Xenopus tropicalis: one gene and its partner. The protein of the gene in region 1 purifies or fractionates together with the protein of each later gene. This does not show direct contact. Links are inferred from orthologs where the notes say so. Each region holds a gene or a part of one and is shown in the gene's direction. Other genes may lie near its edges.

Region 1 (3,656 bases):
CCCCTGCCAGTAATTTATGAAACTATCAGTACTTGTTATATGCAGTTACATTTCAGTATTTCCCAAAGTGGCAGATCCCTTATTTCTTTTAATTGTGTAGAAATAATAGTTTAGATTCTAGATGACAATATTCTCTAAAATCTCTAGTTCTGTCCTTTTTCTCTGAAATAGTTGTATGCCTTTGCTAACAGGCTTGTGTTCTCCATATATTTATTTAGGTAATGGTTGCAGAGGCTCTGGACATTTCAAGAGAAACCTACTTGGCTATATTGATGGACCGAGCTTGCAATGGACCTGTTCTAGTTGGGAGTCCTCAAGGAGGAATGGACATTGAAGAAGTGGCAGAGAAAACACCGGAACTTATTTTTAAGGTAAATACAATTCCAATGAGCTCAGTCCAAAGACTGGAGAACAGGTTGCTCCCGATTGTCCTACACAGAAATGAAGTTCCTCTGCACTATACTAAAGACTACTTGCACATTTAGCCGTTTTACCTGGATTAATTGTGTTTAGAGAAAATATACCCAAATCTTTCCACATGTGGTGTTTGACATTCTGGAAAATTGGTCTTTTCCCATCAGAAGTGTATAGTCATTGATGAGTCCTTGGACCTATCAAACTGTATTGTGATCCCATTACAGTAGGAGATATCAGGCTGAATTATCGTGTATGGGAGAAATCTGCCTGCATTTTTGTGTCTGTCCTAGGGATGGGGTCGAGGACAGTAGCTTAAACGACAACTAAATGTGAAAATTAATATGTTTAGAAATTATACACAGAATTTAGTGGGCCATAATAGAGGTTCAACAGCCCTATAACAGGAATGAGCCAAGCCTTCTTAATTGTGCACTGGAGCTCCCCATCTTGGATCTTGTTAAGTCATCTCTTGAGAGTGTCAGGGGCACCGCACATGCTCAGTGTGCTTTGGACTTCAGTTGCGAAGCTAAACTACGGGGTCTTCAAAAGGAAGATATCTTTACTTCTAAAGCACCATGGTGGCCCTGAGCTAGTAAAGAAGCCCAAAACATAATGTGTATTTGTTGGTTCCTACTACTTCATAAAACGTTAGTTCTCCGTTAATGTTTTTAATATACCTGCTCTTGTGGCTTTATAGGGCTGGAATTGGGCAAACTAATTTAGGGGAGTTCCTATGATGTCACCAGTAATATCCTGAAAGTTCTTAGAACATCAGTTGGTCAATGAGACTCATGGGGAAGGATGAATCATTCAGACAATGTGCAAGTTCCGCAACCTTATCTGTCAGTTGGAGGCCCTCTCATTCTCATTTTAGGCTACTTCTCTTGTCAAATAATCATCGGTGGAAAGTTCACCAACATGACATGTTCCTTACATTGTATTTCTGTGTAGGAACACTCTGTATTCGCACTTGCTTTGACTGCAATGCATTTTTCTATTTTTGCAATGTTCCTTTTGCCGTATAATTCACTCTCATTTTTCTCGTTTCATTTTGAAGGTATTGAGTGAAGTACAATACATCTCACGATTAGGCCATAGACTTCTGTGAAGCAGAGCGCAGATATGATGAATTCTATGAATTTTCCCAGAATTATTTCCAATTTGTTCACAAAAACAGGGCTGGCTTTAAAAAAGGAAAGGGCATTTGTGCTGGCCCCTAGCCTCCAAAGGGGCCCCTGGAAAGAAACTGGCTTTGGTAAAGGCACATGTAATTTATAAGCCTTTGTGCTTATTTTTTAGATACTCTAAGGCACAGCTTTATCAAAATGGGAGTATAGAGCTTAATACAGGCATGGGACCTATTATCCAGAATGCTCGGGACCTGGGGTTTCCCAGATAAGGGGTCTGTAATTTGTACAGGTACTGTTTTATTATTACAGAGAAAAGGGAATCATTTAACCATTAAATAAACCCAATAGGGCTGTTCTGCCCCCAATAAGGGGTAATTATATCTTAGTTGGGATCAAGTACAGGTACTGTTTTATTATTACAGAGAAAAGGGAATCATTTAACCATGAAATAAACCCAATAGGGCTGTTCTGCCCCCAATAAGGGGTAATTATATCTTAGTTGGGATCAAGTACAGGTACTGTTTTATTATTACAGAGAAAAGGGAATCATTTTCAATAATTAAAATGATTTGCTTATAATGAAGTGTATGGGGGCTGGCCTTAACATAATTCGGAACTTTCTGGATAACTGGTTTTCAAGATAACAGATCCTATACCTGTACATATAAACTCACCCATGTTCTATTTATTCCTATTGGATTTTTAGAAGCATATTTATCTAATGGTGAGTTCTTACCGTTACCCATTGATTAAATACACTTCTAAAAATCCCATAGGAATGAATAGAACACGGGTGAGACTTTAATGTATTTTGCTCTACCCCTAAATGTAGAGTCCCAATCTGGAACTTGTAGTTGATCAACTACAACCCTTATTCTGGTATCTACAAGCTAATTGTTTAATCTAATCATTGATTTCAGTCTCTATGGATATCGGGCTCCATCTGTGCATAGATTCTTCCAAAGTTCGGGGTCCTGAACTTCCCAAAAATGCCCCGAGACCCCCCCCCCCCTCGGTCTGCAGCCCTGCAAATCAACTGGACATAATCCCACATGCACTGGTATCATTCATATGAAAAATACAAGAATTAGCAGTTGAGTGTTTGTTAGTGCCATCTGCCCGCTAATTAAAAGTGAAACAGCAGTGTCAGATTGTATTGTCAGGCTGCCCGAGATAAGAACTGGCTTGTGGGGGAAATGCTTATTTCAGCGCATGTTGATACAATTACTCGGTACCCTATGGGCGCCTGTTTAGCTCCGATCTGGCGCAGGCTGCCCTACTGCCATACATTCATTAATATTGTTTTTCCATATCGAATTAATCCTGTTTATTATAGTCATGGTTTCATATTCCATTAAATATGTCTCTCTTCAAAGGAGGAAATTGACATCTTTGAAGGCATAAAAGACAGCCAAGCGTTGCGGATGGCGGACAATTTAGGATTTAAAGGACCCCTTCAACAGCAGGTAATGTGGAAATCAACTGTCTAATAAGGTTCATGGTTGCCATCATTCATTTTTTTTTTTTCTTCTGTAACTTACAATTTTATTGAGAAGAAAAGAGAAAGGGCCATTTCATGTACAAGAGCCATCGAGTAGAATGTCTGCAAAGTCATCATAATAGTAAAAGGATGATACAGTGCATACAAAGTGGTGAAACTGAGTTTATAAAGAGGGATAGAGAGGGTAAAGGGGAAGAAATGAAGAGGCAAAAGGTGTGGGGGGGTGGGGTGGGAAGGAACACTGGTCATTCTTAAAGGAGAAGGAAAGGCTAATAAAGAGTTAATCTCAAGCTGCAGGCATACCTTCAGTTCTCTCAATAGTGCCCTTAAGTCTCCCCATATTTCTCCCATTCAGATGATCAGAAGCCTCATGGGAAAAAAAAACGCTGAGCTGTGTAAAGAAAGTTCCCATAATGCCTCACTCCTGCACCAAGACACAGACTGGTGAACATGCTCAGTTTGTTAGACTATGAGTCAGCTTCCTGTTGATTGGCTCAGAGGGGGGAGTGAGTTCTTAGCATTCTTGAGGGAGTGGGGAGCAGAAGAGAGTAGAGAGCTGCATGTCTCTGGCACAGGAAAACGGAGACAACAAATCTTTTGATAGAGGA
Region 2 (3,656 bases), on another chromosome or scaffold:
ATAAGGGATCTTTCCATAATTTGGATTTCCATACCTTAAGTCTACTTTAAAATAATTTAAACAGTAATTAAATCCAAAAGGATTGATTCCCTTTTCTCTGTAATAATAAAACAGTACCTGTACTTGATCCCAACTAAGATATAATTACCCCTTATTGGGGGCAGAACAGCCCTATTGGGTTTATTTCATGGTTAAATGATTCCCTTTTCTCTGTAATAATAAAACAGTACCTGTACTTGATCCCAACTAAGATATAATTACCCCTTATTGGGGCAGAACAGCCCTATTGGGTTTATTTCATGGTTAAATGATTCCCTTTTCTCTGTAATAATAAAACAGTACCTGTACTTGATCCCAACTAAGATATAATTACCCCTTATTGGGGGCAGAACAGCCCTATTGGGTTTATTTAATGGTTAAATGATTCCCTTTTCTCTGTAATAATAAAACAGTACCTGTACTTGATCCCAACTAAGATATAATTACCCCTTATTGGGGGCAGAACAGCCCTATTGGGTTTATTTAATGGTTAAATGATTCCCTTTTCTCTGTAATAATAAAACAGTACCTGTACTTGATCCCAACTAAGATATAATTACCCCTTATTGGGGGCAGAACAGCCCTATTGGGTTTATTTCATGTTTAAATGATTTTCAGCAGACTTAGGCTATGGAGACCTAAATTACAAAAGATCCCTTATCTGGAAAACACCAGGTCCTGTTCATTCTGGATAATAGTTCCCATACCTGCAATACTTTTTAAAAATGTGAATTATTTGTTTAAAATTGTGTCTGTGGGAGATAGCCTTTCTGTAATTGGGAACTTTCTGGATAATGGGGTTTCCGGATAACGGCTCCCATACCTGTACTTGTCAGGGTTGCAATGGGGCCTCAGTAGAGTAGCCTTTCCCTGCGCTGCTGGCGTTTGCATAGTGTTGCGCTGCTACTTTCCCTTTGCCCTTTGCAGACACAGAGGTTAATGGTTACCTTTCCCGGTTCCCTAACGCCAGTGACGTACAAAGTGCAACAGTGTGGCGAGTAGAAGTTGCTCCGTCAGGCAGTTGGGTGTATAAACCCCCGGGTTGGACCTTTGTGCCAGTAGCTTTATACAGAGCCGGTGTTTACTGGATACTCTGTGCCCTCTGCTCTCATTCCTCTCAGCGCCTACAGCTGAATTTCTTGTTTGGCCGTACCTGTGTAATTATACTGTGAACCTTGGCTGAGTGTGAGTGACCTCTTGGGGAGTGTGAGTGACCTCTCAGGGCCAAAACAATTTTGTTTTTTTTGCACAGTTTTTAGCTGAAGGTGCCCTTGGCTGAAGCATTCCCTCCTTGCCCTTTCACCTCAAAGAAATGCTTTATTATTTGTTCTTTAGAATTTTCTTTCCAGCTTTCCAATGGGGGTCACTGACCCCAGCAGCTAAAAAACTATTGCTTTGTGAGGCTACAGTGTTATTATTGTTACTTTTTATTCCTTATTTTTCTATTCAGCCCCTCTTCTGTTCATATATTAGTCTCTCGTTCAAATTACTCCCTGGTTGCTAAGGTAATTTGGACCCTAGCAACCAAATAACTGCTGAAACTCCCAACTGCAGAGCTGCTGAACAAAAAATGAAATAATTACAAAAAATTGTTTTATTATTATTGTTACTTTGTATTCCTTATCTTTCTATTCAGTTCCTCTCCTATGCATATTCCGGTCTCTCATTCACACCACTGCCTGGTTGCTTAGGTAAACAAGACCCTAGCAACCAGATAGCACGGGGGAATGATGTGATAGTGCTGCATTGGTGCCCTGGCTGAGAAGGAATCTGTGCTTTTGCCTTTCAGTACAGCAGAATGGAGTACGGCAATGCTCCTACACAGCTTCCAGGAAGCACCTGTATATAGATAAGGACACGAGGGTTATCTGCCAAGGCTTCACTGGGAAGCAGGTATGTATATACTACTTTATTATGTTATACAGCATTGTTATGCATTAAAGGACATGTAAACCCCATGAAGGGAACAGCCTCTTTGTAATCCTTAAACCTGCCACTCTGGTTGTTTAAAGGTTAATAGTAAGGCCGCAGCACCCCCTGAATCACTTGGTTCCTTCCCCTCCTCTGTTGGCTTCTGAGCATGCTCAGTTCTTCTCAGCTCAGATTACTAAACACGCCCTCCAGTCTAGCAGCCAATAAAGAGATTGCGGGTTCCCATAGAAATTCTCACTATTCATCCAGGTCATGGTATCTCTAGTATAAATAAATCTAAAGCAACTGGACTTGTTTTTTGGACTGTTTGATATCCATCCAAGAGGGGGGTAACTTGACAACAGAAGTATACAGGGAACCCACTCATACGGATTAATATCTGTTGTTCGATTCCCACCATCTGCTGGAACACAAACTGGGGGCATTTGAACCCCAAGAGGAATAACCGTCCTGAGACAGAGAGAAGGCGCAATATAGTCACCCCCATATGTAGCAGGAGTGTCGGAGAAACTCAGGAGAATTTTCAACAAACACCACATCCCTGTGTTTTTCAAACCCAGCAACACACTGAGACAAAAACTTGTACCCCCAAAGGATCCAACACCAAAGGAAAAACAAAGCAATGTTGTATACGCAGCCCAGTGTAGCGAGGAGTGCACAGACCTTTACACTGGGGAGACAAAGCAACTGCTCTCCAAGCGAATGCCTCAGTATAGGAGGGGGGGGGGGGACTCTACAGGCCAGGACTCTGCTGTATTTCTGCACCTAAAAGAGATACTAGACTATACTAGACATAGAAATTCTGCTCAGCTGTCTTTTTTTTGTTCTAACCTCCTCTCCTGAGCTCAGCTTAACCTTTGCAGTGCTCAAACAAAATAGAACTTTTTATCAACGTAACTTCTGCCTGTGTAAGCCTGCATTCTCCATTACATACATGAAAATAGGAACAGCTGGTTATATGAATTTTATTGCATTTGTTCACCTGTTTGGCCTGTGATCAGGTAACAAGTCAAGCAAATGTATATAGTTTTAGGCTGGAGTCAGACAAGTAAATAATTGCCTCCCATGTCCCTGGGTGTGCGGCTAGCTCTGCTCAGGAACCGGCTTCATTCCCAAGAGAATTTTACCCCTGTGACTTTAACCCAGAATGTTTAGGCTTCACATATTCTATTCGCTCTAACATTTAGTCCTACCTTCCATCAGAGAGATACAGTATAGATTCCAACAAGCCTTGCATTACACTATAAGCAGTCAAATAGGCCCAACTGTGTCGCCTGGGTCACCTTGAATGCAAAGGGTTAAAGCTGGCAGTGTACTCACTGCTACTATATATAGCACATACAAGCAGCATAACTATGCACTATACATGTAGCCTGTAAAGCTGATTAAACCCAAACACACACACTATCCAACAATTCATAGGGGTCCCCTTCCCCCGGGTTCAGCTGTTGTCTATGGGTCTCTGTGTGTTACATAATACATACATGTAACATAATACAATTGGCCAGACCCCTTTATGCCAATATGGCAAGCTTCTTAGTTATTGCCTTGGAGTCCAGCAAGTAAAAGACCCCTCAGTGATTGGTAGAACTGCGGCATTAGGATGGTGAGGCTAAGGCTAGGGGGCAGATTTATCAGAATGTTGAGTTTAGAGCTTAGTACATAAAAACTCACCCACATTGTAT

The links.
Region 2: the proteins of suclg2 (region 1) and suclg1 fractionate together in Homo sapiens (co-fractionation; 6 studies listed by BioGRID and IntAct, counting the BioPlex papers as one, with this or other methods). This does not show direct contact. The link is inferred for Xenopus tropicalis from reciprocal best matches to the Homo sapiens genes SUCLG2 and SUCLG1.

The regions. Positions count from the first base shown.
Region 1 is NC_030680.2:143,027,335-143,030,990, forward strand, and holds part of suclg2 (succinate--CoA ligase [GDP-forming] subunit beta, mitochondrial), read left to right. Parts: intron 1-218; coding exon 219-371; intron 372-2,923; coding exon 2,924-3,013; intron 3,014-3,656. UniProt on the Homo sapiens protein: GTP-specific succinyl-CoA synthetase functions in the citric acid cycle (TCA), coupling the hydrolysis of succinyl-CoA to the synthesis of GTP and thus represents the only step of substrate-level phosphorylation in the TCA.
Region 2 is NC_030677.2:9,778,885-9,782,540, forward strand, and holds part of suclg1 (succinate--CoA ligase [ADP/GDP-forming] subunit alpha, mitochondrial), read left to right. Parts: intron 1-1,828; coding exon 1,829-1,932; intron 1,933-3,656. UniProt on the Homo sapiens protein: Succinyl-CoA synthetase functions in the citric acid cycle (TCA), coupling the hydrolysis of succinyl-CoA to the synthesis of either ATP or GTP and thus represents the only step of substrate-level phosphorylation in the TCA.